Pelodiscus sinensis: one gene and its partners. The main gene of each other region encodes a partner of the protein of the gene in region 3 in a complex. Links are inferred from orthologs where the notes say so. Each region holds a gene or a part of one and is shown on either strand. Other genes may lie near its edges.

Region 1 (8,135 bases), on a different chromosome or scaffold from region 3:
CTCATGGCACCACAAGTTCTATAACTATGCATCTGCAAGATGTGGAACCTACATATTGATAAAGTTTACTAAGCATGTTTAATAACTGAAAACACTAACAAAGTTATGTCCAAGTAGCAGATCTCCACTAATACAACTTTTTGTGGTCACTAAGGATGTAAACATGTAACCATGTAAACAACTTACTGATAAGCCTGAGCTTACTGGTTAACATTCAGTTACACTCAGGCACCCGTTCTACACCTGAGGGGCCGGCTGTCGCCCCATACTGCTGCCTCTGTATCAAAGGCAGCAGTACAGGGTAGCAGACAGGAGCCAGTGAGCACCAGAAGCGGCAGGACAGCAGCCAGAAACCAGTTTAAAAGCCAGCTACTGGAGTACACTGGCTCCTGGGGAGCTGACTGCCACTGTGGGTGCGTTTAACCACTGAGGTTTTTAGCAATAACCCAGTTATCCTCCTTTTAACATTATATCCCTACTTGTCACCAACTGTGAGGACAAAAATAGGTGTGAAATCAAGCACCGAGGAAATTAGACAATTAGCTGTGATTAGCATATACATCACTTGCTATTTCAGTACTTGCTAGCTTTTACATAAATGCTTCAATACTAAGGAAGTTAAAACAGTTAACAGATTACAAGATAACACTTAACCAGTTAATGGTTTTATCCTCAGTCCCAACTCCTGACCCCACTGTGAGGTCCCACTATGACGGTGGAATCCCACCACCTTGCCTACTAGCCCCCTCCAGGGCCAAGGATGTTCCAGTCTGACGCGGCTATCGCTGAAATTAATTGGCAAAGGCTGGTTAACTAATAAGCATACCATTAAGCCTCATTCTTATCACTTAACCATTGAACATCCCTATTCAATACTATACTTAGACATGAAGAAATTCATTTTCCTGTTTAGATGTCATTAAATTACTAAAGCAGTAGTCCTCAACCAGAGGTCCAAAGCTCCTTGAAGGGACAGAAGCAGGTTTGAAGGGCTCCGCCAAGCAGGGCAATCATTAAACTCACTGGGTCCAGGGACAAAAAGCTAAAACCCAACCACCCAAGCCCCACCACCCAAACATTAACATGAAACTTGAACAGCTTAGCTTCGCAGGCCCCATCACATGAGGCTCTGGGCAACTGCCCTGGTTGCTACCCCCCAAATAACAGCCCTAGCTTTTATATGAAATAGAACCCACACAATTGTTGTGACATAGGTAGGCTGTAGAGTTTATACAGCATATTTGGGGGGAGGCCTCAGAAACGAAAAGATTGAGAACCCCTGTCCTAGAGCTTCAGGGACAGGTGCATAACAGTGTTATGCAATTGTACATGTATACTTAATTTTTTTAAAATAATAATTCCTTTCTATTATTTTAAGAAATAGCAGCTTATGAAATTTATGTAATATAGCTCTTCACTGTATATGAAAACAGAACATAACTGAACTTCCTAGCTTTTCAGATTACTTGTTAAATAATGTATTAACCTAGTTTTTGCATTCATGTATAAATACATATATACCTACACAGATAAGATCTGTACAATAGATAAATATACAAGTACCTTAAAACACCTAGGAGCAAACACAATAATAATGAAAGACCTATTTTGCCTGTCCTCAACCAATCCCACCTAGTTTCTGGATTTTTGTTTGCCGAAAAATTCCCACTAATACAAAGTGCTGTAATATATAAACAAGTTGTGTTCTTTAGCCACCATTTCAGCAAGACTTGGAAAACCAATTAAAATAGTTTTTAATATTATTACCACCCACAATGTGCTAACAACAGAGATATATGGAATGGCAGTACTAGAAAAATTTATAGTGAGGGGTTGAAGCTTATGAACTTGTAGCCTACTGAAATGATCACAAGGACAAATAACCACACACTACCCCTACAAAGTGGCTTGTAAGAAGGACAAATAACCACATACTGCCCCTACAAAGTGGCTTGTAAGATATTTTGAAATTTGTAGATGAAAGAATTGGCTAGTTTGATTTTGAAGACATTCAAATATCAAAATTCACTGCATTATAACTAAATACCTATTTAAGCTAATGTCATCTAGTAGTTTGCCCTGATTGTGTATAAAGTTTATCCCACAGTAAACCCAAATTATTCCTGCTGATGTATAAATACCTTTTGGCAATCTGAGCCAGAAAGCAACCAGTAAGTTGTAGTAAATTGGGTAGTATAGAAAAAGAGCGTAGCTATATCACCCCAAAGGCTAAGAAGTATAACAGGGTGGGCATCAAAAAGTTTACATCTTGGGAAAGTCTGCAGCCTACACCCGCTCGTCTGTGTGACAGGAAACGAACTCCAGATTTTTCCTTCCAGTGCTTTTATTTCCCCCCCACCCACACCGACAAAACTGTCTGAGGCAAATTGAGACGGGGTGAATTCACACATGGCACCAACTGCTAAACACGTTTCCTCTTCCCTCCCGTGACCCCTCCCAGCTTCACCAAAAAAAAAGGCAGGAAATCCCTAAAACATCCACACACGCACACACCCCGCGCGCGCTCCCAAGGGAAATCCCTCAAACTCCTCCCCGCTGCCCGAGAGGAAACCCCCGCACATGGACACACACCCCCAGCCCCGGGGAAAAGCCCCCTCCCACACACACGCACATCCCGCCTCGCAGGAACCCCCCCCCCCCCAGCCTCACTCGTCCCTCCACCCCGAGCCGCGGCTCCTCACACGCCCCCAGCGCCCTCCCGCCACGCAGCGCCCCGCGCCGGCCCGATCCTCCACTCGCCCCACCGCTGCCCACTCCCAGCCCCACACCACGTGGGGCCTGCAGAGCCCGGGGATGCTTCACCCCGCCCGGCGGCTCCCAGACCCCGCGGGCCGCTGTGAGTCAAAGCCCCCGCCTGGGCCTGGCAGAGCGGCGCGGCCCGGCCCATCCTCTCACCTGCTTGTTTCTCGGGTAGGGCTTCGAGGCGCCCAGGTGGTACCGCCGGGTCCGGATCTTCCCCCCGCCGCCGCCGCCGCCGCCCCCGCCCGAGGCCATGCTGGGATCCGGCCCCCCGGCGCAGAGCGGGCCCGGCCCCCGCTCGCTCCTCTTTCCCCCCGCGGCCCGGCCGCGCCGCCCGCGCCCTCTTCCTCTCTGTGCTGTCACTGTCTCTATGGCGATGCCCCCGCCGCGCGCCGCGAGGCCTGTCTCGCGGGCTCCGGGGCCTCACGCGCTCGCTGCTGCCGGCTCCGTCCCGCCCGCGCCGCGGCCGAGTCCGTGCACCCCTCCCCCCTCCCCGTCCGACCAACCACACAGCGCCCGCCCGGGCGCGTCGCGTCACTAACTCGCGCACTTCGGGATGCGTCATCCTGACGCGACTTTCCCCAGGAGCGTTCCCTGCCTCGAACGCACATGGGAAGTGTAGTTTCGGGGAGCGCAGAGGCTGGCGCGGGGCAGGGAGGAGGAGGTAGTTGGAGACCGAGCCCGGCTCAGGCTCTGCGTGGTTTTCCTGAAGCTGATCGCAGCGGGCATTGAGCAAAAACCCCCTCACAGGTTGCAGAGAAAATCCTGAAGGCAAATAAGCAGGACAGCCCCCCCGTATCGTCCTTTAGATCTTGCGATTTTCAAGGCTTGGTCATGATTTATTGAGCGCCCGACCTCTCTGTGGTAGGCTTCCGAACACGTGGGAAAGGAGTCACGTCTGCTACTAGACCCTAACAGCCTTGGCTCATAAACCAATTATTTGGGGGCTAGATTCTGGTTGGTGTTATAAAACCCGCCACAGTGCAAAGGGAGGGGCGGAGTTATGGGTGGTGCCGGGCAGAGCAAGGACCACGGAAAGGCACATGATGTACTAACGGAAATAAGTCCTTTACAAGTGACACACAAGAGTCAGCACTATTTCTAGGTGAAGCCAGACCTGTAAGGTGTAGTAAAAATGTAGTCACGCAAGTTATATAAATTGTAATAAAAACAAACCAAAAAGTGTCAAAGAGGTGCTTAAAACAAGCCAATGAAGTGATTCTGATTTATATCCACGATTGCTCTGGTCCATTATACTTACAAATATGTGAAATAGGGTGTAAAATATAAAAATATCATTCCAGCTAGCTTTATAGAGAAGATATTGCCCTACAAATTGCCTTCATTGACTTGTGAAAGAATCAATCATTTCTGACAGTCATTAATTTCATTTGTTTCTCTCTCCAATATGGGAGATGGATTGCTATACTTTACACAGTAGCCTGAATCTAAATAAGTAACAAACAAAAAGGCTGGGCTAGCTATGGAGGTTTTAGTGACCAAATTCTTCACCAGATTTGTAGTTCCAGGTAATCAGCAAACAGATGAAGGGGGAAATTTAGAATCAAAAGTATTACAACAGTTTTATGAAATTCTGGGATTCATAAGACTCACATCTTATGGGAGAAGGTGGAATAGGCCAAAAAGGATTAAGCAAACTATCTTTTTAGAAAAGTATCAAATTGGCCATAACCAAGCATATATTCTTTTGACAGCCTATAAAATAGCAGTCAATGAAAGTACAAAATATATCCCAATTCACTTCATATTATGATAAACTGAAGACCCCGGGAAACATCTTCTGCAGAGTTTCTGGGAAGGAACAAAGAAATTTGTATCACTTGAACTATAGAGATATTCCACAGCCCCAAACTGAAAATGCCCACATTTCCTTGGGAAAATCTGAAAGCATTTGAAAATTAAAAAACTTTAACAAACAGTTCATATGGGAAAACATTTTTGGGAGGACCTAATAGATTCCACAGTCTTGGTAGGAGCCCTAAAACTGAATTAACTTTGGGAGGGATTCTCTACAACATTGACAAAGATAATTGAAGTGGTGAATAATGTAGTTGGATCCCAAAACTAAGCCCCAAATTATCCCTAAGGCTCATCTCAGGAGGTACAAGAGAGCCAGAATTCCAACTAGGCTATCCTCAGCTTTGGCTCAGAACACTGTTTAGATGAGGCTGAAAGACCATGAGATGCCCTATTAAAACAAAATGGGCAAAGTCCTTCATGGTCACAGCCTTCAGACATCAGAGAAACAATGGACACACGGCAGGAGTCAATAAAAAGCAGCCCTTCCAAACTGCTGAAAGAAAATCAAGAGAGCAATAGGAAAAAAAATTAAATCAGGTGTGGAAGACATGGAAAAATCCAGACAGAAAGAATGTTACTAAAATAATTTACTGGCATTGCCTATAATAAAGGTTAGGCTAGAACAAGCTGGGAATGATGTGAAGATAATGGGACAAGAAGCCAAGCAAGAGAGAGCTGTGTGGGACAGTGGAAAAGAGTTGTTCCTTGTCTGTTAGCAGGTTCCACAGAAAGAGTGGAAACCCTACAGGAGTTCTCATCACAGCTTAAGTATGTTGTGCACAGGTATAAAATCAAGTTGAAATAAAAACTCTCTACATCAACATTTTCTAACTTGGATATCAACATTCAGAGACTTATGCACCTCCCCATCCCTTTTGCAGAGCAGTGTCCTCTCCCTTCTCCTACCCTGCATCAGTTCCTCTTTCCCAATTGCCCTTTCTTCTTTCTAAATTATTCACAATCTCTGTCTTCAACCCCCATCCACCCAGCTCCACCCTACCCCCAAGTCTTTACACTTCCAAAATCCACTCACACACAAACACTTATAGGGGCTCATTTACTATTTGCACAAACAGACTTCTGAACAAGGAGAAAAACTTACTAACATTTCTACACTAGTCTCCAAGGAGAAACTGATCATCTGTGCTTTCCCCAGCTAGGATGGTGGGACACACTGACAGGTGTATGTGCTCCACATCTAGATCCAGAGATCCTGTTTTTCCTTCCTCCATCTTGGGGAGGGAGGTTGCAAAAGCATTTTGCTTTTTTGTATGAGTAAATTACAGTTTGACCATGATCAGGCCAGTCTCAGCATGCAGGCTACAGGGTAAAGCCAAATCCAAGAACCTAAAGGGAAAGTGACAGAAGCTACTAGTTAAATTCTTTGCATAGTTGCTTACAAACCTACAAGAGAACTGGGACTGTTTCAACCCAGGAATGAAAACTCAACAGTAGGGAGCAGCAATCTGCAGGAGACAAAATCTTGCATCCACTATGAAGACTCAGTATTTTTGAGGGATAGCTGCATAGATTGTTGGAGAAACAACATTGGCTTGCCAGCTGTCTACACTGGCCACTTGAATTTCCGCAAGAACACTGACCATCTCATGTAAGAAATCAGTGCTTCTTGCGGAAATACTATGCTGCTCCTGTTCGGGCAAAAGTCCTTTTGCGCAAAAGGGCCAATGTAGACAGCTCAAATTTGTTTTGCACAAAAAACCCCCATCGTGAAAATAGCGATTGGGGCTTTTTTGCGCAAAAACGCATCTAGAGTGGCATGAACGCTTTTCCGCAAAAAGTGCTTTTGCGGAAAAGGGTCCATGCCAATCTAGACGCTCTTTTCCGCAAATGCTTTTAATGGAAAACTTTTCCGTTAAAAGCATTTGCAGAAAATCATGCCAGTCTAGACGTAGCCCACTATGTTATAGCACTTTTGCTGACCCAAGACCTTAGCGACTGCTAGTATAAGTTAATAATCATAAAATTAAATAATTTTGGGGGGCAAAGATTGTCTGACAAATGTGTTTATACAGTGCTTAGCATGCCTAGCACTGCTCTTACTGGAAGGATCAGAAGAAAACAAAGGGTGATTAGGGCCACTCCTTCATATCACAGGAGCCTTCTGCAAAACAATGGGAGAAAGGGGCAAATGGCCCAATGGACAGTACTTTCATGAAGCTCATGGTGCCATGGGCAGAAGCCACACCTTCAAAGAAACTATTCACTGCCTTTCTTCTCCCTCCACCTGGTTCTGTCCACTACCTAGTCCCAATGTTCTCCTTTCCCACAGTGCACTCAGCTCCAGGGCAGGAGACCCTAAGTAGCTTCAAGGGGCTCCTGGACAATAGATACATAGGCCCTTGAAGTGGCACTTCCCTGCCCTGATGCTAAGTGCTAAACATGGGGGGCAAGATGGAGGGAGGGGAAAGAGGCACATTCTTCAGAAGTCCCAATCCAAAATAGCCCTAGTCTCATCCTCCTGCCATCTGGGAACTCCCCCACAGCAACCCCAGCTCCTCTTTCCAACACAAGTAGTGCAGGACAGTTTTCCAGCCAGTTTTCCAGCCAGTTAGTAACTCACCAAATTGAAAAGGAAGAGCAGCAGTAGCCACTGCCCCAGGGCAAAACCTGTAGAGCCTAAGGCCAGGTCTACACTAGTGGGCAAAGTCAAACTAAAGTATGCAATTCCATCTCTGTGAACAGCATTGCTGGAGTCAACGTACTTTAATTTGACTTACCACAGCATCCCCACTGAGGAGAGTCAACAGGAAAAACTCTCTCAACTTCCCTTACTTCTCATGACCCAGTGGAGTATTGGAGTCAACAGGAGCATGATCAGTGGTCGATTTAGCATGTCCTTACTACACCTGCAAGCCAGGCCACCACTTCCCACACCTCCCATTGGCCAGGAACATTGAATCACATCAACTGATTGCTGCAGGGCTCTATGCCTGCAGACACTCAGTAAACTAACCACCTTGCAGGCTGCCAGCAATTAACCCTAATGAAATGGATCATCAGAAGGACCCAAGGTTCCCCACCCCTGCCCTAAATTGACTCCCAGGCGATCAATATCTGCAGTCAACCTCTTGGTAAGTAAAGATAAGGCCCAAGTAAACAGCAAATCAACTAAGCCCCCTTCCCCCCCGCCCCCAGAATCAAGGCCTCCTAATCCAGGGAAGAAGCAGGACTGACTTCTTCCCCAGTTCTAGCAGGGCCTGCAATGAGGGAGTGGGAATAATAGAACCAGTGGTCCCTGTGGGGCCAAGATGTTCCCTTCTCTGGCTGTGATGAAATGTGGAGGTATCCTAGGTATCAAAGGCCGGAGTATTGTAGTAAATCTAAGTCTTCCAGCTGGCTTACTCATGCCTCAGAAGGGCAAAATATTCTTCAAACCATAGGTCAGGTTGACTACCTTAGGGAATCCCAAACTTTTTTCCCTGAAGCCCTCCTGTGCAGCTGCAATAGGCACTGCATTCCACTATTTACACATCTTGAGGAAATTTGTTTATACATACATAGAAATTTCACAGTAAATAAAACAATGTGCATGT
Region 2 (7,629 bases), about 150 Mb from region 3:
AGTCGACGGGGGAGGTGCAGCAGGGGTAGGTCCCAGACCCAGCACAAGCTGGGGACTGAGCCAGGCTTGCTTAGTCCCAGCTCATGCTGGGTCTAGCAGCCCCTGTCCACAGGGGTCCCGGTGGGGAGCTGGGACCCCCTGCAAGCAGAGGCTGCTTTGTGGCAACCTCCCCTGCCCTCCCTCCACGCTGCTGCTCTTTTCTTGTCTCATCTTCTAGATGTTGTAGAGTGGAAAGCTGTTCACTCTCCAAAGGTTTTTTGTCTCCCCCCCCCCACTCTTTTTTGAGCTTCCCTTTTTCCTTTCCCCAGTTTAATTTTTTATCTTCACAAATTTTAGTGGCTTCCTTCAGCTATCATGGCATGAAATAGATATGATTCTATTCAATTTGCTGCTGCTTCCAATACTGTTCAGAAACATTGAAACATCAGAATTGTCAGTTTTATTCTGCTATTTCTCCACTCTACTTTCGCTGGCTGGCTAGGGTGAATCGCTTGTTGAACTTAAACTAAATTAATCTAGGCATCATGTAAACTGATTTATGAGCACATGTATGTGTATATAAGTTGCACTGGTTTAACTAAAACTGTGTCTTCATTGCAGAAAAGTTTAACTCTTTCATTGTGAACTCATGATAAGAGATAAGGCACGGATAATAGGGATATAAGCAAGTAGTTGACTACCCGATAAGTGTAGGCTTATCGGGTATTTGAGTTAACTACTTGGCTGCTTGCTTCCCCGCCCCCCTTTGCTGCCTCTGTATTAGGGATGTTAAATTGTGTTTAATAAGCTAATCAACTAGTCGAGGCACTACTCAACAACTCAATAAGCATATGTTATTAGAAGCAGCAGCGTGGAGGGAGGGCAGGGGAGGTTGCCACAAAGCAGCCTCTGCTTGCGGGGGGTCCCAGCTCCCCACCGGGACCCCTGTGGACAGGGGCTGCTAGACCCAGCATGAGCTGGGACTAAGCAAGCCTGGCTCAGTCCCCAGCTTGTGCTGGGTCTGGGACCTACCCCTGCTGCACCTCCCCCGTCGACTTCCCTTACTCCTCACCACTGCAAGGAATACTGTGGTTGACAGACCCGCTAAATCGAACCACAGAATATTGATCACTGGAGCATCAGTCCTCCAGTATTGTGGACAAGGCATCTATTTCATGCCATGATAGCTGAAGGAAGCCACTAAAATTTGTGAAGATAAAAAATTAAACTGGGGAAAGGAAAAAGGGAAGCTCAAAAAAGGGGGAGGGGGGACAAAAAACCTTTGGAGAGTGAACAGCTTTCCACTCTACAACATCTAGAAGATGAGACAAGAAATAGTAGGCTGCATTTCCACCATTTATTTGCTAAGCATGGAGTTCCTTAGCAGGATCCAGAAACAGTACCCTGGTGGGAATCACAGCATGTTGTTCCTTCCCCCTAGCTGGATTGAGGATAGTGTTTTGCGTGTATGTTCACAAGCATGCAGCACTCCATTACCAAGAGTGCCTCTAGACCCTGCTGCAATCCCATCATCCTCTCCCATACTCTCCAATGCATTTTAGTAGTTTATTTCAAGCCACAACAAAGATTTTTCCTTATGAAGAATAAGCCACATGCTACAGTCTCAAACTTTAAAACATGCACAAGGTTCATTTTACGTGAGAGAGTATTACTAGTGGCATCACATGTTTGTAGGACAGGGGCTAAATCTAGTTCAGCTATTTTCAATTTAAAAGTAGTACTGTTTCTAAAAGGATAAACTTAAAGAAATGGGCTGTGCCCACAAAAGCTCATGATACCGTCTACGGCTATCTACACTCACGGCTTCTTGCATGAGAAATATGCAAACAAGGCTAAGCGTGGAATATCGCCGAGCCTCGTTTGCATACCTAAAGAGATGCCATTTTTGCAGAAGAGGCTCTTGCACCAGAAGGAGCTGCCTACACTGCCCCTTCTTGCACAAGAAAAACCTGTTTGTGCAACGCCGCTAAACTGATTTTTTTCAGGAATAACGGCATTGCACAAGAGGGTTTTTCTTGCGCAAGAAGGGGCAGTGTAGTCAGCTCCTTCTGGTGCAAGAGCATCTTCTGCTAAAATGGCAGCTTATTAGGTATGCAAATGAGGCTCAGCAATATTCCACGCTTAACCTCATTTGCATATTTCCCACACAAAAAGCCGTGAGTGTAGACATAGCCTACATGTTTTGTTAGTTTTTAAAGTGCTATCAGACTATTTGTTGTTTTTTAAGTTTATCCTGTACAGACTAACTCGGCTACTGCCTGAAGCTTTTGTTCCTAAAAGATTAGGGTTCAGATTTTGATAATGTAGGGGCTGAAGAGAAAGTCCCTGCACCCATCATGCAGGACATGAACACCCCAAATGGCACCAAAGGGCAGTGAGAACTGCCCCCTAAAACTTTATCTCCCTCACGTTACTTGGGTTGCCAAGTCTCACAATTTTATCATTTATATTTCCGTAGTGACTAGGAAATCTAGTCTTTGTCCAGGACCCAATTGCACCAGATACTCTGCAAGAGTCCCTGCACCAAGCATTTGACAATCCATGAGGGAGACAAGAAATGAGAGATGGGGAACACAAGGTGCGTGTATTCATGTAAATGTGAAACTGATGAAAATTTCAGCAGTTACACGTGGGCGGGGGGGGAGGTAGCTCCCCACGTATCGGCTCCCACCCGCCCCCTGCACTGCTCCCTTTGATACAGACGCAGCAGCGCCGTGGGCGGCACTTATGTGTAACCATTCACATTAATCGCACACACGTTTGCGCTTCCACATCCCTTGTCAGCAGCACTAGCAGCCAGGAGGGGATCTGGCGACGCGGGGCCCCTGGGGTGTTTCTCCTCGGAGCACCTGCTCCTGCGATTATGCCAGACCCGAGGGGGGGGGGGGGGGTTCCTGGCTCGACCGAAGACGCGTTGCCAGGCACGGGGGCTGCAGAGAGCAGTGGGGGCCCGGCCCTAGACCTCGACCCCCCCCCCCCGGGCTCAGAAACTAAAAGGCAAAGGACCCCGCACCCCGGCTCTTGTGGGAGGCTTCCCGGGGCGGGGCTGGCGCACGGTCTCTGCCAGCCAGGCACACACGGGCGGGCCCGGAGCCGAGGGGGCCACAGATCTCGCGCCGCCGCCTCCTCTTGCTGCTGCACTTCTCCCCCCGCGGCCGTTCCCCTCGGGCGGGGCGGGGCGGGGCGGGGACAGGGGCCGCACGAGCCGGCGCGGCGCCGCCCCCTGTTACCGGCCTCGCGCTCGGGAGCCTTTTACCTGAATTTACCGCCAACAGCGCCGCCATCTTGGAAAGCAACTAACAGGCGCCGCCGCCGCCTCAGAGAAGCCCAGAAAGAGTTGGAGGCGCTTGAAGCGCTGCCTGCCTAGAAATACCGCTCTCCTCGCCGCCTACAGGGCACGCTGCTTCCCCTAAAATCCATAGTGGGATGGTCCCTAATACACTAATCAATTATACACCCCACTCCTGGTATTGGGTCCCTTTGAAACAGGCAGGGCTGCCTGTGGAAAATTGTGGGAGGGGGCCTTCGTGGGCTGCAATGCATGCCGGGAATTGTAGTCCATTTATGGATTATGGGAAGTGGCGCAAACTACTAAACTAAAGTTTCCAGGAAAAAAAACAACAGATACAGTAGCATCTTAAAAACTAACAAAATATGTAGATGGTTAGTCTTTACTGTGCTACTAGTCTATTTGCTGGTTTTTTGGTTTTAGTTTTTCCTGTTACAGATAAACTTGGCTTCCACCGCTGAAGCTTTTAAAGTTCCCAGGTAGTCCAGCTCTGCTCCCATACCCTTTACCCAGAGTGAAACCAGATGGATGGATATGCAGAAGCTTTATTCTGCTCACAAAACCACATCCCATTATCATGTTTGCACAACCAAGAAAAAATTCACAAGCACCAGGACCACTCCAGGGGACAAAATCTGCTCAACCCACCCTAGAATGGGAAATAATGTTATTTTGCTATCCTGTTTACAAAATATATACTTAGTTTCAAAAACTAGATTTCCAAAGATTATATTAATATAATCTATTTAAGTAGTCACAGCGACCAGCCTTTCCTACTTTAAACCATTTTGGACCCTTTATAACTTTTTCAGAAAATTGTTTTTAATAAACACCTGGAGTGCAGTGTAAAAATAACAGATTGCACATTTCATGTAATTATCTCAAAACACTTTTCAAGTGAGAAAACAGACAGGGCAGGCTGATTTACACAATGTTGCATCAATCAATATTATAGATCAATATCCTACAGAGAAACTGACCTCAAGTCTCCAGACTACTAGTTTAGCGACTGGAAACCAAAGAAAACATGTTTACAAAAATGACACAATTGTAATAAAAACAAATAATGACATCATGCAATTTAATTTATATTGTGGTATGAGTGTGAGTTATAATAATTATAGGTTTAATAGTAAAAGTCATTTGGAAATGTTACTGTGCTTGGTTCCTTCATATTATATATATTTGTATTAATGGTCTTTGTATTGCTGTGTTTTAATTTTATTAAAATATTTTTCAGTGGGCCTACTCACTAATAAAACTAGGCACATGTACATGTGACCACAAATGGACTTTTTTATGAGGCAATCAGATTCTATGCATGCAGTACTGTTGTAACTGTGTAGTTCCCAGGATATTACAGATACAAAGTGAATGAGCTAATACCTATTTTTGGACCAATTTCTGTTAGTGAGAAAGACAAGCTTCCTAGTGGAGCTCTTCTTCAGGGCTGAAGTAGGTCCAAAAAAAGATATTACCTCACCTATCTTGTCTCTCTAATCAGATTCTGTTTCATAACTCCTATCTCCCATAATTAACATAATATATATGTTTTATCCCTCTCCATTTTTCCTGCCTTCCTTTGTCAGATTCTGATGAACAAAGTGTCTTCCATTATATCCCTTTCTTTATAGCCATCACTGTGAAAAAAATATTCCTCAAATGTGTGCTATAAGGAAAGTGTGATTCCTTAATAGTGAAATTAATGCAGAGACAGTAGAAAATTTCTTAGTTTTTCAACTAAAAACTATAAATCAATTATCACATTTTAGGTTTTCAAAAACTGAATATCTTCAATTTCTGCAACTGTTCATTAAAAATCAGGAAAAATTTTAATGGAAAATATTTTTTTAAATGTGATGAAAAGGGACCTTTCTTCTGGAAAAAAAATCATTTACCAAAAAACAAACCCAAATTTTAATTTTAAAACATCTAAAGTTTTTTACCAATTCTACAAGCAAGTTAATTGGATTTGAAATCCTATTTCTTGTGGTCTTTGATTATGGAATAAAGCATCTAATCCTGAACACCAGGGAACCTACCCATCTCAGGCTATGTCTACAGTGCAGGCTTCTTGCACAAGAACACCCATTCTTGTGGAAAAATTTGCGGAGCCTCCACACTACAAGCCTGTTCTTGCACAAGAAAGTTTACAGTAGATCGTCATAAGAGAGGGTTTTTTGCTCAAGAATTATTCCTCTCCCCACGAGGAATAAACCTTTTTGTGCAAAAAGGTTGTGTGGACACTCCGCCGGTGCACTTCAACATGGAGCCAAGAACTTCTAAATTGTGGCAAAATAGATTATCAAAAGAAAGTTGAGGAAAGAACTGTCAGAAATAAAGAAAAGGCACAGAAAACAGTTAGACATATATCTGGAACTAAGGAAGGTGTACTAATATTTAACAAGTGTGATACATCTGAAGACTGTCTACTTCAGGGGTGGGAAATCTGGAGCCCACAGACCAGACGCAGTTCATCTGGGCTAGCCCCTAGCGGTCTGCCAGATACTTTGTTTACCTGAGCATTCACAGGGATGACCACTCACAGCTCCTGTTGGCCACGGTTTACTGTCTCCAACAAATGACAGCTACAAAAAGTGGTGGCCTGGCCTGCACCACCTCCCACAAACAGCAGCCAAATGAAGCATCTGGTGCTTGCCAGGGACTAACCCTGGTGAATTGTATCTGGCCAGCGCACCAGAGTTTCAGACACACCCTTTGGTCTATTTACTGCCCTTCTGTTTCAAAATAATATCTCTTGGAAGGCTTTCCTGTCCCAGTCACTATACTGATGGCAACTTTTCTTCAGTATATTCCCATAGAGATAAGAGATGCCTTCGAGAGACACATTCATGTCAGTGGCCAGTACTTAACATTTTCACACTTGAACTTTATTAAAATTAAGTTACTCTTCCTGCAAAATCATGTCCTTCAAACTATATCCATATAGAACAGACAGCAAATACTGAAGAAGTAGAGCGGACAAAAACAATTGGATAGGTGGGGAAAGAAAAAAGGCAATTCAGAGAAAGCAGAGACACTTGAGAGGAAGGATGAATTAATGAGAGACAAAGGAGGAAAAAAGACAAAAGCCAGAAGAAAGGGAATTACATTGGAGATTAATACAACCAAAAAAGGGAGAGATGGAAACAAAGGAAAAGAAAGGAAGAAAGAAAGAGAAAACCCATCCTGCCAGAAAGATTTCTTCTCACAGAGTTTGAAGGGTAGATATTTGAGAAAAGGATATATTTTCTTTTGGCTATTGCTCACATGAAACTAATTTGCTTATTTAAGTGAAAGACATTTTATACCACTAAACTCTTTCTCATTCTGGTCCTGGCCATTTGTCAGTTATGAATCTAGCCCACTCAAAGGTCAGGAAATGACAGAAGTGACAGGAGATTCAAACTGTCTTATTTCAGGTAGGAAAAAGTGTGTGAGGGAAGGGGTGGACATTGAAAGTAAAAAGATAAAGGAGAAAGCAAAAATGAGAAAGATTTATTTTGGCAGAAGGGAGGGTTGTCATGTTTCTTTTGACATTAAAATGTTTCCAGATTGTATGCATTTTTAAAAAATCCCATTGGAAGAGAAGATCCTCTGTAACTCCCACACATCTACCATTTAAAACTTCCAAATAATTCAACAACTTGCTCTGTCAATAGCTTAGATAACAACAACATGATGCAATGAAAAATGGGTCCGAGAGGGGCTCTTTAGATGAATGAATCTAGTGGGAACAGCATATAGTTTGGCCTTGTCTATACTAGTTCAACTTGGTGTGTGGGTGTGATTTTTACCCCAAATAGTTATATCAGTACAACTCAAGTGTTCTTCTTGCGACACCTGCCAGAACCTTACAGTAGTCAGGAAAACTAATGAAGCAACTAGCAAGTTGAATTTCAGGAGCATCAGCTCAATGAATCCCAGCACAGTAGGCACCGACAACACTAATGTGTAGCCCAGTATGCACATGCTAAATATATAATTGGTACAGTGATGCCTAACAGCAGTATAGCTTATTCCCTTTAACGTATGGAAATAAGGCATATTGGCATAATCTCTGTAGTCTTCAAATTAGGGAAATTGTACCACTTCATCTATCCTGGCACAGTCTACACTAGGAAAGTTGTACTTATTTAACTATACTGATAAGCTACATCTACACTACAAGGTTTTTTGCACAAAAACAGCTGTTTTTGCGCAAAAACCTGAGGAGCATCCAAACCTCAAATGAGCTCTTCACAATTAAATAGGCAGTTAAACGGCAGAACAGAGGGCTTTTTCTGCCGTAGGTAAACCTCCTTTTCTGAGGCATAACTGCTTTTAGCGCTACAGCTATT
Region 3 (8,124 bases):
ATCATGGTAAATAAAATAAAAAAGATAAAATGAAAGTTTCAGAGAAAAATGTAAAACCAGAAGAGGTGAAAGATGCAGAGAAGAGAGGAAGAAATAAATAAAGAACACTGGTGAAAGTCTAAAAAAGTGGATAAAGACTAGGGATATTAAATTGCGAGTAACTGACTAATCGAATAGTTGATGCATTTTGCATCAACTAGTCAACAGGGCATCTCCGCCTTTGAAGTGTAACAGCCCTAGGCATCATGCTCCTCCCAGCATTTCAAAGCAGCAGCGCCCCTTGGAGCCCGGGGTCAGCTGGGGACTACCCTGCTAACCTTGGGCTCCACGCGGCGCTGCCATTTTGAAACACCGTGGTGAGCGCAGTGTCAGGCTTCATACAGCGTTTTAAAGTGGCAGTGCCACCTGAAGCCCCAGGGTCAGCAGGGGAGTCCCCAGCTGATCCCAGGCTACACAGAGTACTGCTGCTTTGAAATGCAGTGTGCAGCCTGGGGAAACCCCAGCTATCACTTTGAAGTACCCCCTTTTTATTCCTCCCCCTTGCTGCCTTTTTCTGATAGAGGCAGTGGGGGGAGAGGGATTAATCAACTAGCCTGTTGATTACCCGATAAGTATTTGCTTGTCCACTAGTTCTTCACATCCCCAGCAAAGACTGATAAAATAAACCAAATGTTTATTGACACAGCTAAGTTTCAATTTGTATATTTTGCTATGAACTTAATTTTACTTGGCTCTAGCAAAAACAAAGTAACCATACAACCCTTTTTATCTTTAAGACACCATAGGAGAATGGTTCAGAACATAACAGCCAAAAATCAAATGGTGGGCCACAGTCACAGTGGAAAAAAAAAAAAAAAAATCTACAAAAGATGTCAATCTTTGTTTAAAAGGATATTTAATCCAAAATCTTAACCCTTTTTGCAATTTGGGACTTCAGTTTGTCCTTGGATTAACTGTGTCTTTGTTTGACGAAGCTCCTTGGAGCATAGACCAAACAACGTATGTGCTCAAATGATAAAGTATCTACATGGTGAGGAAACTATAGTAACTGCTCTATCAAGGAAGTCAGACATAGAAATAGATGTTTTAGATATTATGAAGATTTGGACTTTTACATGCAAATTTGGTCCAGCCATCAGCTTACTGACAAGCCTCTAGCAAGGGCACCAACTGTAAAGGGCCAAGTACTTTTCCTTCCAAGAACATATTTAACTATGCTAACAAAACCAATCAAAGATCCTATCATATTTCTAGTAGAAGTCCAAGTAACTGAAATACTGACATGAGCTCTGGAATATTTACATTTTAACACCGCCTCTTCATAAAACAATTGTATTATGTATCACTTCCTATGTTCACAACTAGAAAATACCCGTGTCAGCTACAGCAATTGCCCATGAGAGTGCACGACAACAGACAACTAAAAATATGTTGAGTCTCTTCAATGCAATTTAAGAACTGGTAACAAGAAAAAAAAAAAAAAAAAAAAGGTACATTATCAGCCAGAACTCTGCTAGCCACCAACGAACAACCTGAGGAAAGCTGGAGAACCACTGAATTAACAAGTCATCACCCATCATCATGGTTTGGCTTCGCGAACGAAGATCTAGGAAGGAAATCCATGTAACTCCTCAGCTTTCTCAAATCATCCAGAAAAGAGGAAGTTTAGCCTCCCAGTGTTACAGCACAAAGATATTTTTGAACAAAAGCATGCATTTTTTATCCTTTAATAAGACATATTTAGTTTTTAATCTTTCATAAATATTATATTATTGAACAAATGTGTCTGGAAATTTGTAAAGGTCTGGTGAGTCACATTTCTTTACAATTTCAAAAGGAGAGTTAATTGTTGTCCCTTCTTAATTTTACAATACAGGACAAAAAGAATTTTATGTAACTATTTTCCATTACTTATTTTGTGAACTTGACTGTACAGTTAGATGCATTACCCATGTAAAAATCAGCATCCCCTGTTTGTGTGGGTCTTCCACACAGTGAACAGGATAAAACATTTTAAAAAGTTTTGTTCATGGTAACAAAAAAAACCTCATAGGTGTAACTGTTAAATTTGGTAGATTTGTTGATTGGACAGCTGACAATCTAGAGAGTGTCTTCTGAGATTTGCAGAGAAATAGTTGGTAACATAAAACTAGTAATAATTTTCATTGCTGAACTGCATTCCAGGATACCTTCTTAGCTAACTCCATGTAAACAGTTGTGGTACTTGCCATGCATACCCATCAACAAGCAAGGAAGTAACTCAGCCACTTTTTATGAAAACATGATTGAAGTTTCATGAAAAAAAGAATGAGTCCACAAATTACTATCCCATAAATTAGTAACTCTGAAAACTAGATATCATGCTCTTTTTAAAAAAAGCAATACCAATGTTTATCACACACATCAATTATGCACCATTTCTTTGTTGACTTAAATCCTTTGCTTAGCAGAAGTATCAGGCCAAACTTTCCTGCACTATCCCACTGCTGTTCCTCAACTCATCATGACCATGGGGGAAGGTGTAAAGGAGGGATGGCTTGCCTGGACTTGGCCCCCAGGATCAGGACTCCCCCCCCCCCAGCATTAGGGAGCCCAGACGGACACTCCAGCCACCCCCCAACCTTCCTGCTGGCCCACAGCACATAAAACCTACTAGCCTGGGCTCCACTAGCTACGGTGTGGGAGGGGAATGCAGGGAGTGTCTTTCTCCTTCTCAACTGGGGGGAGGAGGTAGGGTTTCACATCAGTGATGATTGGGGTTTTTTCCCTTCACTTGCGCATGGCCCCTGACTGATTTTCCTGTGGGTCAGCAGCCCCGGACCCAAAAAAGGTTCCCCACCTCTGAAGGCTGAAAGAAACGCCCCCAGCCAACGACAGCTCAAGTTCCTTCCCGTTAGTACAAGACTCAGGAACCCCGGCTGCTACAAGCGCCTCCCAGCCTTGGCTCCAGCCCCGCCCCCAGGCAAACCTCCGGCGCAGGACAGCTCTGGCCGCGGATCCCTCCGCCCCCCGGCCAGGTCAGGGCCCGCCCGGGTTAGCAGCCGGCCCCGCCCACGCGGAACGAGGCCAGCCCGGCTGCCGGGGCAGGGACGTTGAACGCCTGCGGGCCCGTGACTCGCCTCCCCGGAGCGGGCGGGAAGCTGCTCTGCGGGGCCCCGCGGGGAAGGGGCCAGGACACGCGGCCGCTCCGGCCGAGACCAGCCCCCGCTCGCCAACGGGCACCAGCACGCGCCCCCCGCGCTCTGGGCGAACAAACCGCCGCGCCCGCGGCCCCGCAGGCGGGCGGAGACTGGGGAGCGGGCGGCCCCACTCACCTCTCTGGGGGAGGGGGCGGCGGCCTGCACGGAGGCGATGTACCGCTCCACCTCGGCCTTGCTGCGCCTCATGGCCGCGGCGCGCGCCGACTAAGCGAAACCGAAACGCCGCCTCGAGCCCCGCCACCCCGGCTCGCGCCGCGCCGGGCAGACGGGAGACTGAGCTTGGCTGGTGGGGGGGGGTGGGGAGGAAAGTCTAGGTACGTTCGCGCGCCTCCTCAAGGTGCGTAACGCGGCGGTGCGTGTGCGTCGTCCTCCCTTGCGGAAGCGGAAATGACGTATGTCGGCTGAGCTGCCCTCCCCAACTCGGCAGTCTGATTCAGTCCCTTTTTCCGCCTGGGGTCGGGGCTTCCCGGCGCGTTCCTTGCTCCGTCGCAGCCCCTGGGCCGCGAGCCAATCACAACTAGCGGAGGGCGGGCCGGCTGCGCGCGCACGGAAGGACAACCTGGCACCTCAGGTTGCGGGGCAGGTCCGCGCGGGGCGCCCGTGGCCGCTGAGGGCAGGACGCGGGGCGGGAACGGGGCTCGCTGCCGCAAGGCGGGTGCGGGCGGGGAAACGTTGAGCATTGAGGACAGTCGGACTGTGCAGGGGGGGCGTGGCGGCTCCATGGGAGGTTTGTAAAACCAGGTGGACAGACGCCCGGGCAGGGAGGCTGTAGGGCGGGGGTCGTGCACATAACACCCCTCTTCCCCGCCCAGCGCTGCGCCTTTCTGTCACCGCCCTACCTTCGCCCCCATTACACTCAATACATGAACTCAGAGGTGAGGGCTCCCAAACACTGCTGCCAGCCTCTCCTCTACCCTCCCTCCTGGCCAGACACCCTGCCCCAAGTCCCCTCCTGCATCCTCCCTTCTGGCCGGAGACCCTACCCCCAGCCTGTCTGTGCACCCTACTTCCCACCCTCTCCCCCTTCTGCACCCTAAGAGTACAGGGTAGCGCTCATGAACTTTGTGTCTCAAAAGCATGTTTGTGCAGATCAGCTTTCCTAATCATTTTTTATTTCTGTGATGGCATGTGTTGTATTACACTGATCATCTTCAGTTAATACTCTTCTGATATTAGAATTTATATCTAGTAGGATTAAGCCTCAGAACAAGCCTACTGATGGACTACCTGGAACCATTATTATGTGTTTATCATGAATTGAAGCTACTTCAGAAACTGTGTCACAATGTTTCATTCTGTATAGCACCCTGATCAGCAAAACTGTGCTTTTAATTCTTCCTCAACTACCGAGTATGTCCAGGGTAGGAATGTAAAATCCTGCTTAATCAGTTTAACCAGTTAAATGTTAACAGGATCCTGAGGGCAGGAGTAAATAAAACAAGATGGAACTTAAAGGAAAGGGGCATTCTTCAGCAGCCAGTGACTGACAGGTCTGGTGCTGTCACTAAGCAACCCACATGCAACCCATTGTAATTGATCGGTAGATCTTAGCAGGTTAAAAACTGACTAGAACTAAATTGCAAGTAAGAGTAAGTTATGTACATATAACAGTTACACAGCACTGCTGCCACACAAGTGTCCTTAGACTTTTTTCCTGATAGAACTCATTAAGTGTATGGCTTTATCATATTTTTCAATGTTCATTGCTTTGCATTTGTCCTCAGTGAAATTCACATGGGATCGTGCTAGCAATTCACTAGCTTTATTTGGGCTCTCTGAAGTTCCTTGGTCTCTTCTAGTGTTTGTTATAACAAGTAAGGAAGATAAACTTATTCTGCATAATTGTAATGTATTAAACACGACCTATGTACTAATGTGAAAATGTGTGATGAGTGGTTGTCTGTGTTGTATGGGGGTAGAGGGAGTGTGACAGAGGTAAATTTCAAAACTGGGTTATTTTAAATGTTTTTGTCTAGGAAAAGTTAGCAGGTATTTTATTCTGAACATTTCCTTTACAATTCAGTTATCCACTGAATTGTATCGACACATTTAAAGCCTAAATTAAAGTAGGATCTGTGTTGAGCGAAAAGTACAGTAAGGGAAATACACCCTAAACTATGGAGTCACTTCTGACAGTTCCATAATACAACAGAAACTGGACTGTATTCTGTGTAAAGAGAACAAATACAGGGTCCCTCACCACCAAACATCCCTTTAAGAACAAGTCAAACAGGTTATAATTGTGTAGTCTTTATTGATCACAGTGGGAAAGCTTAGCTTTTAAACCAAGAGATATATTTTCTTAAAAGATATGAAATGAAACTGTAGTTTGTAAAGCATAACCTATACAATCTATGTAGGCTGCTATATTAAATGAAAAAAAATGTTTTATTAATTTGCCATACTACTGCACCTTTATAAAGAAAGGGGGAAAAGCCCTAGATTCTTTATGACTATTAATGAATAATATAAGACTTAGAAGCATGTTATAGTGAATTCTCATCAATTTGGACCCAGTCCTTCAAGGCTGACATTTTAGGTGCTCAATTGTAGGTGCTCAGCACCTTCTAGCATAGACCATTTATACACACACTCACTGATGTATGACGTGAGAGTGAATTATTGTAGGTACTATTAAAAAATTAATTCAGCCAAGAAACAACAATGTATTTTTTAAAATTCAAGTGTTCTCAATATTTAAAGAAAACAAACGTCATACATCCTATAGAAGTGAAGTAGTTAAAGCATATTATGTTTTATAATACCTGGTATACATTTTCTGCATAAGAATATAAAATAAAAATAAAACTGTATATATATTTAATGCATCCTTTTTTGAATACTGTTGTGAAAGGTACAGAAAAATAAGGCACAAAATGTAAGTAAAATACAAATACACTCATATTACTGGATTATTTTAAATGGAACATAACAAAATTCCGGTAGTTCTGAATATGGATATTTCTTGCAACAGGAATATATTTTCTATATTTCCATTACAACTTTAAAATCTAATATACAAAAATTAATTATGTAATATTTATCTATTAAAGGCACTACACTTTTGCAGTGGTTGCACTTAGAAGTTTGACTTCAGAGGCATTTAAAATAAGGCTTCATAATGATTACTTGGATCTGAATCTAAAAATGAATAGTTCCATAAAAAGTGATGCTACATCATTTAAAGATTACATGCTGAATTCTATGCACAAGTATTACCCTTAACTTCAATGGCACTCTTTGTGTACAGAAAGCAAGGTTTATTTGTGAAGTCATTGCAGGAAATGCACAAGCAGATCTTAGGTCTCCACAGAATCTCACTGAAATATGTGGCTATAAAGCAGATTCAACTGCAGGACCAGAGCCGTAAAAGAGTTTACAATGAATTTGTATTTGCAGTTTAATATGCAAGTACAATATACAGATCAACAGATATGTATAAATGTATATATCCAATACAGAACTGAAGATATATTTTGCTTTTGTTAGTTACAAGTTATATAAAATGTAGAGAGGGTTTTTAGATGCATGTTTTGAGAGAGAAAAGAGGAAAGTACTTTAGTATGAAGCTAGTCATGCATCAAGGAAACTAATTTTCTTTGCTTGTGTATCGCAGATTGCAGCCTCAAAGAAAAATAAAATGAAAGTCAAGTAATATCTGTAATATTTTCTAATTTTTTTCCAGGAACAGGAGATTAGAAGGAGGCTTTACTTCCTCCCTAAAGTTTCAGCTAGTTTCTTCAATCTTTTCTTCAACTCCAGAGGAAACTTCTCATAGCATTTCTTGCAGACAGGCTTCATATCAAATTCAACAAATTTGTTCCTAAAAATGATAAAGGAAATATATTTAGTGGAAGAGATTTCAAAGAGTATGTGTAGCATACCATATTGACGTGGTATAAGCAGCAAAATGATGCTTTTTCAGTATGTTTGCTGAATATTAAAAAAAGCTCTAAGCTGATAAATGATATAGCAAATCAATAAATGTAGATGTATCCCTGAATCTATTTTTTAATGATACATACAACTATATTTGTTAGCAGTATCCAACTTTGTAATTGGGTGCCATCATGCAGGAAGTAAAACAAATTCAGAAGACTTCTGATTTTTTTTAAAACCGTGACAAGTTAACAGTACAGATGAATTTGCTTAAGCTGAGATTTGGGTTTTGAAAAACAGAGGACCAGTCACTGCACATAAAGTTAATATTTATGTGAAAGAGACATGAAAGTAAAAGGCTGAAGTGAAGGAAACAACCGTACAGGAAAACAAAAAGAGAACTTCTGACTACTGAGGAAAATTTTGTTTTATGCAATACTGTATATTGTGCAACCACTGAATTGTAAACCTAACATGAAAGATACAGACTACATTTTCAGATGTTTATGGAGACCCAGTGTTATGGACCTAGAAATAGATGTCCAATGTGGGTATAAGCAAGGGCAGCTGTGCAAAAGATGCTATGAATTTCCATACTACGTTCAAGCAGTGGATATATAGTTAAGTATCCTGTCTAACAGCTGCAAGTATGTGCTGTTTCTGTGGCAAGAGGAAGAATCCCTATAGAAGGCAATATGGATAAGTCTGCTTACAAGACAGGAAATGCCACTATATCAGCAAAACAATAAAATAGGAACTTCGGTCAAATGCACAGTAAACTGGAAAAACAAAAAAAAAAGTATTTCTTTCAAATGCAGTAATCTCAAGTTACTTAAAACTACATACTATATTTTCATATAGAAATTTAATTTTCAAGTTGACTGATATTTTAACAAGTCTTTCCAATATTTAAACAGTAAAACTCTTTGTTAATCAATTCATATTGGGCATGATTTTCTGATATGTCATGGGATTCCATAAGTTGAAATGTCTCTTTGCAGCAATATAATGGGTTGGAACAAGAGACTCAGATAGTTCAATGTGA
Region 4 (8,422 bases), on a different chromosome or scaffold from region 3:
ACATGGAAGAAATTTTCCCTGTGATTTCCTAAACTAGGGTGCAAATCCATGAGAGACTGTGAGCTCCTGGCCCTACTAAAATCAATGGGAATTTTGTTGTTGACTTTCTAATGAGGCCTGGATTTCCCCCCTCTGACTTGCAGTTCTAAGACACTGACATCCACCTTTATTTTGCCTGCCCAAGGTGTAAGATTAAGCCCCAAGTGCATGTCACAAGCAGTCTAAAAATGGGCAAGAATTGCCCTCACGATCACAATCGCAGGCCTCCAACCGGAAGATGATAAAGAACTTCCACCTGTGACTGGTGCAAGACAGACAGCAAAGTCCCCTGGAGGGTCCCTCTTGGATCAATAAGTCCTTGCCACTGTGGTCTCCTTTTTAGAAGCTAGAGAAACTATTCTGTTCTGTCATCTGTGGTAGAAGCTGTCAATTCATTGTCTGCTTATATTTATATAGTTAAAATGAAAACTACATAATATATTGGGTTTGTTTTCCTTGTAATGTGAATAAGTGGTTGGCTTCTGAAGCTTGCAGACTCCCTCTTCTCCAGTGACCAATCTGGTCAATTTCCCTAGACTAAATCCTGTTTTAACGGCCAGTTCCAAAAGCTGTTATCTTGCACCTGAAATTCTGGGGATGGTGGGAGAATGAGCCCAGCTATTTTGCTTTCAATTTTCACAGAAAAGGCCTGGGATATGCTGAATCTGTAGGTGTAGGAAACGGAACTCCAGTCTGAGTCCTTAAGCTGGACCAGAATGAATTCTGGATGAGTCTGTTTGTATTAATGCCCTCAAAATCTCCCAAATTAGGCCTTGTTCAACAAACATATTTCTTATATGCTTGAATTTACTCATATGAGGAGTCATTTGACTTCAGTGGGACTATTCCGTGACAAAATGGAACACATGAAAGGGTTGGGGGGTTTTTTTTGCCTTTTTTTTTTTAATGGGAACCAGGGATCTTGTCTCTCCCTTTTGGGGGTAGGGAAAGACTCCCCAGGATCCCAGGACTGAGACTTAGCTGGACTGTGCTTTGGACACTGCTGTGTACTCTGTATTTACAACTCTTGGAACCCAGTTGTTTGCCTCTGGGATTTAATTGCTTATCATGTTTCTTCCCTCTCCCTCTGGGTTTTTTGTTTGTCCTTGGCAGCTTTTAACTTTGTGGTTTTTAAATCATGGTTTAAATTAAAAAAAAAAACAGATACCCAATTTATTGTTTGAACTCTAACTAGTCTTATTGTGCCTGCCAAAGGCTGCCCTTTTTAAGTGTCTTGCTGTTCTTGTTTGTATGAGAATTTAGAATTGTAATGGAGAGAGAGATTGTGGATGAGAGCAGCACAGCTCTATTTGTACAGACTGAAAATAAATCTTCTGACATTTATGTGAGGCATCAGTGTATTTAATACTGCTACTCAATATCCCTGTCTAAACTCAAGTTGTTCCATGTGATCTAAAACCTTAGGCCTAGTCTATACTACAGCAGGAGGTTGAATTAAGATACGCAACTCCAGCTATGTTAATTATGTAGCTGGAGTTGACATATTTTAAAGTGCGTTTCTGCATCCACACAGGTGGAGCTCCTGTCAGCTTCCCTTACTCCTTGCAGTTGCAAGGAGTACAGGTGCTGGCTGGAGCTGTCCTCAATTTATGGATCTATACTAGACCTGCTAAATTGAACACCAGAAAATCAACCTCTGGAGCATCGATCCACCAGTAAGTATAGATGTGGCCTTAGTTTTCAAATCATTTTAGTTAAAGGGGTGCAAATCCCTGAATAGGCACTTAAATTACATCAGGATAAGATAGCTGTAAACCATTTCAGCCAAAGGCTTCAATGTTTGAATCAAACAGGGCAAAGGAAGGGGTTTTTAAAATCAAGCATTCACTGGTTCCTGGCTGCTCGCTTACTTCAGGGTCACTGTTTGACATGCACATGTGTCTGGCAGAAGCAGCAAGACTCTTCTTCTTCATCTTCACTTTAACAATGGATTGGCCAAACCATCAGTGAGTTTCCAAAAAGAATTATACAAGTGGGACTGCGCTTCATCATTCCAGTGGATGACAGGTAGATTTCCTGTCACTCAAATCAAGTGGTAAACCCCTTTTGCCCCAGCATAGTCAGAAATGTGGATGAGGCCTTGCTAGCAGCCTCCCTAAAGAATGTATACACCTCACTGGGGCCAGTGCAAGGTCAGAATGTATCGTTCACTGTGTGACACATCCTTGCATACTTCAGATAATATAAATTGCATTAAACTAGCCTGTGGGAACTGAGAGATTGTGCTGGGGTGGGGGCAGTGCAGCACACACAGCCTCCCCCCCGCCTGCTCCCCATAAAGTGCAGAGATCCACATGGAACAGCTAGCCACTCTCGATGGTCCGGGGCTGCTGGCAGGCTGGGGAGCCTGCCTGAGAGTGCTGCTGGCCAGGAGCTGGTTAGGTAAGCGCCTCCCACCCAGAGCCTGTCTGTGGTACCCCCCCTTTCTCGCACCCCAACTCCCTCCCAGAGCCTGCACCCCCTCTCACACTATTCCTCCAGGTCAGAATCCTTTCCTGCACTTATACCCCAAGTCACAACCTTCTCCTTCACCCAAACTCCCTCTGAGACCCAGCACTAAAATGATTAGGGGGCTGGAGCATATGATCTATGAGGAGAACCTGAGGGAGTTGGGTCTGTTTAGTCTGCAGAAGAGAAGAGTGAGGGGGGATTTGACAGCAGCCTTCAACTTCCTGAATGGAGGTTCCAAAGAGGATGGAGAGAGGCTGTTCTCAGTAGTGACAGATGGCAGAACAAGGAACAATGGTCTCAAATTACAAGTGGGGGGAGATCTAGGTTGGATATTAGGAAAAACTATTTCACTAGGAGAGTGGTGAAGCACTGGAATGGGTTACCTAGGGAAGTAGTGGAGTCTCCATCCCTAGAGGTGTTTAAGTCTCGGCTTGACAAAGCCCTGGCTCAGTTGATCTAGTTGGGATTGGTCCTGCCTAGAGCAGGGGGCTGGACTTGATGACCTCCTGAGGTCTCTTTCAGCTCTATGGTTCTATGATTCTATGACCCTCTTCTGTACCCCAGTCTCTTACACTGAGTTCCCTTCTGCACCCAACCTCTGTCCAAGACCCCACATCTCCACAGAAAAATGAAGCACTTGACCACTTACCAATATCTTGGATTGCGCCCCCCCCCCGCATAAAAAATAATTGCCTACTCGTGCTCTAGAATATCCATTTGAGTGATATTACAAATACAAGTATTTTTATCTTTTCCAGGGATCTAATGGCAGGTGCTCTCTCTGGGTATGTCTACACTACCCTGCTAGTTCGAATTAGCGGGGTAATGTAGGCATACCGCAATTGCAAATGAAGCCCGGGATTTGAATTTCCTGGGCTTCATTTGCATAAGCGGGGCGCCGCCATTTTTAAATCCCCGCTCATTCGAACCCCGTGCCGCGCGGCTACACGCGGCACGAACTAGGTAGTTCGAACTAGGCTTCCTAGTTTGAACTACCGTTACTCCTCGTGGCACGGGGTTCGAACGAGCGGGCATTTAAAAATGGCAGCGCCCCGCTTATGCAAATGAAGCCCGGGAAATTCAAATCCCGGGCTTCATTTGCAATTGCGGTATGCCTACATTACCCTGCTAGTTCGAACTAGCGGGGTAGTGTAGACATACCCTCATAGACTAGCTGTCTCATGGGATTGCTTGAGTAATGCTGCTGTTTGCCCTTCATTTGTTGGTGTGTGCATGCCTGTCCAGTCTGACATACACAATGGCAGTGGCTATTTAGCTTTGTTTAAAGGGTCTAATAATCCCACTATAGAGTAATAGTAATTGCTAATGCCATCAAAGGGTATTAGTTACATGCTGCAGTGGAGGAAATGAAATTAAGCAGTTCAATTGTAAACATGAAGCCACATTAACTGGCTTCTCTATAACCAGAAACTGATATTTTAAAATGAGATTTATAGTACTTTCATGTTTCACTTGGAGACCATTCATACAAGGAATGTGGAATTCCTTTCTTTGAAATGCAGAAAGTGGATCTAGCCCCACAATGCAGAGCCCTACACTGTCATGGTAATTATGTTAGGATAGACTACTCTGGCAGCAGCATTGACTGCTGTTTATGTATGCTGTGTGCATACTGATCATTGCATATGGTAAACCAAGACTTCAAACTCATGAGTGTCTTAAAAATCATGAAATTCTTAAAACATAAATCTGTGGGGTTTCTGCCCTTCCAATTTCTGAGCCTTTAGGCTACACTTAGGTCAGATACACCTCACTTCCATCCCCAAAACGAGGAGGGTTGGACATTTGCTTGTTATTCTTTAAAAGAACCTGAAAGTCTCATGTAATAATGACTCCAGGAGCTGGGGCTTTAACTGAAACACCAAGTAATGTGAGAGTTGGCAGCACTGGAATAACTAGCTTGCCCCAAGGTTGATGTTGGTGATTTACTGCCGTGTAGCAAATATAACACGACCAATTGGGTAACAGGAACAGTAGCCTTCCAGACTGGCTGGATCCCTGGTAGGATGACTAGAGGGGACTCCTGCTATTAGGAGCATTGTCATCTATAGGCAACTGTATCCTGCCTCTGAAAATACATGGTAAAACAAAACAAAAAAAGTCATGTAGCACTTTAAAGACTAACAAAATAGTTTATTAGGTGATGAGCTTTCGTGGGGTGGACCCACTTCAGATCCTATTCTGAAAGTGAACAGGCATGACCATTTTATAACAGAGGGAAAGAAGGTAAAAAAAAATTACAAACTGACAATTCAGCTACATCCATGTCCTAGTGCTGACTGTGATCCAAGTTTGAATTGCTTATTGATGTTGCTCCTAGAAGCCCCAATGATGGGGCAGCCCCCCCCCCCCCCCCGTCTATTAGGTGCTATACAAACTAGTCACTGCCCTGAAGAGCTACCACGCCCCATCCTCCTTTGGCCACGCCCCCTCGTCAAAGCTCCCGCCCCCTGGCATTAGGCCCCGCCCTACAGTCTTACCGTAGTGTCTTCCTCGGTCCTCCACGAGCCAGCGGCGCTGCCATAGAGCGCTGCGGCTAGAGTAGACTTGATGGCCGCCGGAAGCGGAAACGCTCCTCAGAGCCCTGCGCAGGCGGTTGGCGACGGGCTGAGCCGGAGCTATGGGGGACGATATGGATGTGGTCCCCGAGCGGGAGATGAAGGTATGGGCGGGGGGGTTGAGGGGACACGGGGGGAGTACCCTGCCTTGGGGGCACTAGGCGTTGTATGAGGGAGTTTCGGGGGTCAGCGAGCTGGGTGGGGGGGGCGGTGTCCCGGGGGACGGGGCTGTGGGCCGGGAGCTGGGATAGCGGGATTGAGGGGGGAGGGGCTGTGGGCCGGGGGGGCGGGGCTGGGATAGCGGGATTGAGGGGGAGGGGGCTGTGGGCCGGGAGCTGGGATAGCGGGATTGAGGGGGAAGGGGCCGGGGGGATGGAGCTGGGATAGCGGGATTGGGGGGGAAGGGGCTGTGGGCCGGGGGTCGGGGGAACTGAGCTGGGATAACGGGATTGGGGGGGAAGGGGCTGTGGGCCGGGAGCTGGGATAGCGGGATTGGGGGGGAAGGGGCTGTGGGCCGGGGGGACAGAGCTGGGATAGAAGGTCTGGTCATCCTAGTGAGTGCTCATATCACTACAAAAAATCAGGCTGTTAGGTGTGGAATGTTAGGTGCCACAGTTACTGGGGCCCTACCAAATTCATGGCCATGAAAAACATGTCAGACCTTGAAATCTGGTGTGTTGTGTGTTTTTAGAATGTACTACACAGATTTCACAGGGGAGACCAGCATTTTTCAAAAGGGGGTCTCGACACAAAAGGGAGTCTGAATTGGGGAGTGAGACTGTAATCACAAAAGGAATTTTAAGTTTTCTGCATAGTAAAGATGTTACCATTAAATTCTTATTGCAAGCAGTCAGCGTTTATATGTAACTTAAAGCTTTTGTGATTTATAATCACACTTTTTTTCCCTTATGTTTCTGGTGATGCAAAACTCTATGCAAACAACAAGGGGGTGTGATCACATGCAAACTATTGTCAAATACACAAAGTAAACGTTCGAGAAGGGGGAAGAAGGAGGGGAATCTTTTTGTACTGCAGTGGTCACCAAACAAGTAGATCTTGGAGCCTTTGACAGGTGATCCTGACTGGTTTGGCCAGGAAGCTATCACGCTCTGGCACTTCAATTGCCCCTCCACCCACTATCATGCTGCTCATGCCCTCTGCCTTGTAGCTGCCCCCTGGGAGTCGCCTGCTTGCTGTGCAGGATGTGGGAGGGAGGGGGGGGGGATGCTGATGTCAGGGTGTTCCTTCTCCCACCCACTTCTGTATCCTATCTCTACACAGAGAAGAGATGGAGTGAGCTTGTCAATGCAAATCTCTCACTCTCTCACACTGGTAGAAATGTAGCCGTGTTAGTCTGGTGTAGCTGAAACAAAATACAGGTCTATGTAGCACTTTAAAGACTAACAAGATGGTTTATTAGATGATGAGCTTTCATGGGCCAGACCCACTTCCTCAGATCAAATAATGGAAGAAAATAGTCACAACCATATATACCAAAGGATACAATTTAAAAAAAAAGGATACAATTTAAAAAAAACACTGTGTGTGTCTGTCACTCACAAACACAAACTGTCCTTCACTCTCTCCCCACTCAACACATATGTGGGTTGTTTTTACTTCTTTTACTGCATGCAAAGTATGTTGTTTTTGGTTTTTGACAGGTTTGTGTATTTCATACTTTTCATTTCTTTCTTATGCTTAAATTTAATTATTTGAGTAGTGAGTTCTAAAATGCCTAACCTGTCATGGCTGGAGTAATTATCCCTATGGTAACTGCTGCTCCTGGGAGTGACTGGCATGTCCCTGCAGTGCATGAGAAAGGTAGAGCAGGGGATCTTCACGTTCTGTCCTTGCCTGCAGACACCAATCCTGCAGCTCCCATTGATCAGTACAGACAGTCCCTGGGTTACGTACAAGATAGGGACTGTAGGTTTGTTCTTAAGTTGAATTTGTATGTAAGTCGGAACTGGTACATATCGTAGGGGAAACTCTAGCCAAACATTTCTCCAGAACTCAGTTTTATTCTCCCACACCTCACTTCCCTCAGTCCTTTATTCTCAAGCTGAGGTGTCTGCTGAGAAAAGCCGCTCCGCGTCTCCATGGTCTGCTGGGGGGGCGCTAGCTTCGCGTCTCCCTGGTCTGCTGGGGGGAAGCAGCTAGGGCGGGGTTGCCTCACCCCGTTTGTAAGTAGGGATCCGATGTAAGTCAGATCCATGTAACCCGGGGACTGCCTGTAATGGGGAACTGGGGCCAGTAGAAGCTATGGGCTCAGTGCCTATAGATGAAGGACAGCACATGGAGCCATTGCTGTACATGCCAGCTGCTTTCAGGAGCGGTGTAGGTCCAGGACAGGAGCAGGTAGGAAGTTTTAAGTATATTACTGTAATAGCAGGTAAAATATATTCAGATACATATACCACTTTTAAGTTAACATTGTCCCTTATGCGATCACTGTAATGACTGTACTAGTCATTATGCACAGTCTTTTTTTCTTTTTTTTTTAAGTGGAAAATGTTTTGCTACTTTCTAGGGAAGTCTACATGTTCTCCAAATGCTGTCTATTAATGATAAGTATATTATGGATTATCAGACTTTTGAAAAAAAAATACCTGTCAGGAATTAAAACGGTGACTTCCTAGTTTATTTTTGGAAACAGTGAAAAGAACAGTGTCCATTTTAGGCCACCTGATAGAGAAATACTTTTAAAAAGATGCTTGAAAATAACTTGGTGCTCTGGCTATAAAGTAGATAAAGAAGAAATAAATGTCTTAGTCTTTCTTCAGTTAGACGTCCCAGAGAGAGATTTCAAAAAGCACCTGTTTCAGATTGTGGTGATAGTGTTTCATGAGATTAATAACAGTCTTTCCTATTCTTCATTATTTACTTCACCAATATTAAAGTGCTAAGTGAGGTCCATGGCCCACCTATTAATAGATAATTTATGAAAATATCCTTATCTCTCTCCTACATATTTAAAAAATCTGGAACTGATTATAACAAATTATTTTTCGTTGAGGCAATTTTAAAGTAATTATTTTTGTTGATGTGGTCTGCAAACTCTTCAAAATCATTTTCAGGAGCTTGTGGTTTGTCAGCCACTTGGGAAGTAACAATTGAGAGATTGTGTGTATGTGGTAGTGGGCAAGTGCTTTTTAATGAATTCAGTTTCTCTGGGATGTAAGCGAAAATCAGTTTTAACTCCCTTCGCCACTCCACATATAGACACCTACAATTGCTTTTTAACTCTGTTGTTTTATGACAGGATTTTCAATTCAGAGCGTTGAAGAAGATCCGAATATTTGATGCTCCTGAAGAACTCCCTAAAGAGCGTT

The links.
Region 1: E3 SUMO-protein ligase RanBP2 (region 3) and NUP153 share a complex: the UniProt entries of both Homo sapiens proteins name them as parts of the nuclear pore complex. The link is inferred for Pelodiscus sinensis from reciprocal best matches to the Homo sapiens genes RANBP2 and NUP153.
Region 2: E3 SUMO-protein ligase RanBP2 (region 3) and NUP205 share a complex: the UniProt entries of both Homo sapiens proteins name them as parts of the nuclear pore complex. The link is inferred for Pelodiscus sinensis from reciprocal best matches to the Homo sapiens genes RANBP2 and NUP205.
Region 4: E3 SUMO-protein ligase RanBP2 (region 3) and NUP214 share a complex: the UniProt entries of both Homo sapiens proteins name them as parts of the nuclear pore complex. The link is inferred for Pelodiscus sinensis from reciprocal best matches to the Homo sapiens genes RANBP2 and NUP214.

What each region holds. Positions count from the first base shown.
Region 1 is NC_134712.1:108,543,377-108,551,511, forward strand, and holds the start of NUP153 (nuclear pore complex protein Nup153), read right to left. Parts: upstream 3,605-8,135; 5' UTR 3,490-3,604; coding exon 3,370-3,489; intron 3,242-3,369; exon of another isoform or gene 3,016-3,241; coding exon of another isoform or gene 2,917-3,015; intron 1-2,916. UniProt on the Homo sapiens protein: Component of the nuclear pore complex (NPC), a complex required for the trafficking across the nuclear envelope. Functions as a scaffolding element in the nuclear phase of the NPC essential for normal nucleocytoplasmic transport of proteins and mRNAs.
Region 2 is NC_134711.1:85,276,442-85,284,070, forward strand, and holds the start of NUP205 (nuclear pore complex protein Nup205), read right to left. Parts: upstream 3,419-7,629; 5' UTR 3,285-3,418; coding exon 3,257-3,284; intron 1-3,256. UniProt on the Homo sapiens protein: Plays a role in the nuclear pore complex (NPC) assembly and/or maintenance. May anchor NUP62 and other nucleoporins, but not NUP153 and TPR, to the NPC.
Region 3 is NC_134711.1:235,355,973-235,364,096, reverse strand, and holds the start of E3 SUMO-protein ligase RanBP2, read right to left. Parts: upstream 3,454-8,124; 5' UTR 3,387-3,453; coding exon 3,315-3,386; intron 1-3,314. UniProt on the Homo sapiens protein: E3 SUMO-protein ligase which facilitates SUMO1 and SUMO2 conjugation by UBE2I. Involved in transport factor (Ran-GTP, karyopherin)-mediated protein import via the F-G repeat-containing domain which acts as a docking site for substrates.
Region 4 is NC_134732.1:14,188,038-14,196,459, forward strand, and holds the start of NUP214 (nuclear pore complex protein Nup214), read left to right. Parts: upstream 1-5,038; 5' UTR 5,039-5,152; coding exon 5,153-5,194; intron 5,195-8,352; coding exon 8,353-8,422. UniProt on the Homo sapiens protein: Part of the nuclear pore complex. Has a critical role in nucleocytoplasmic transport.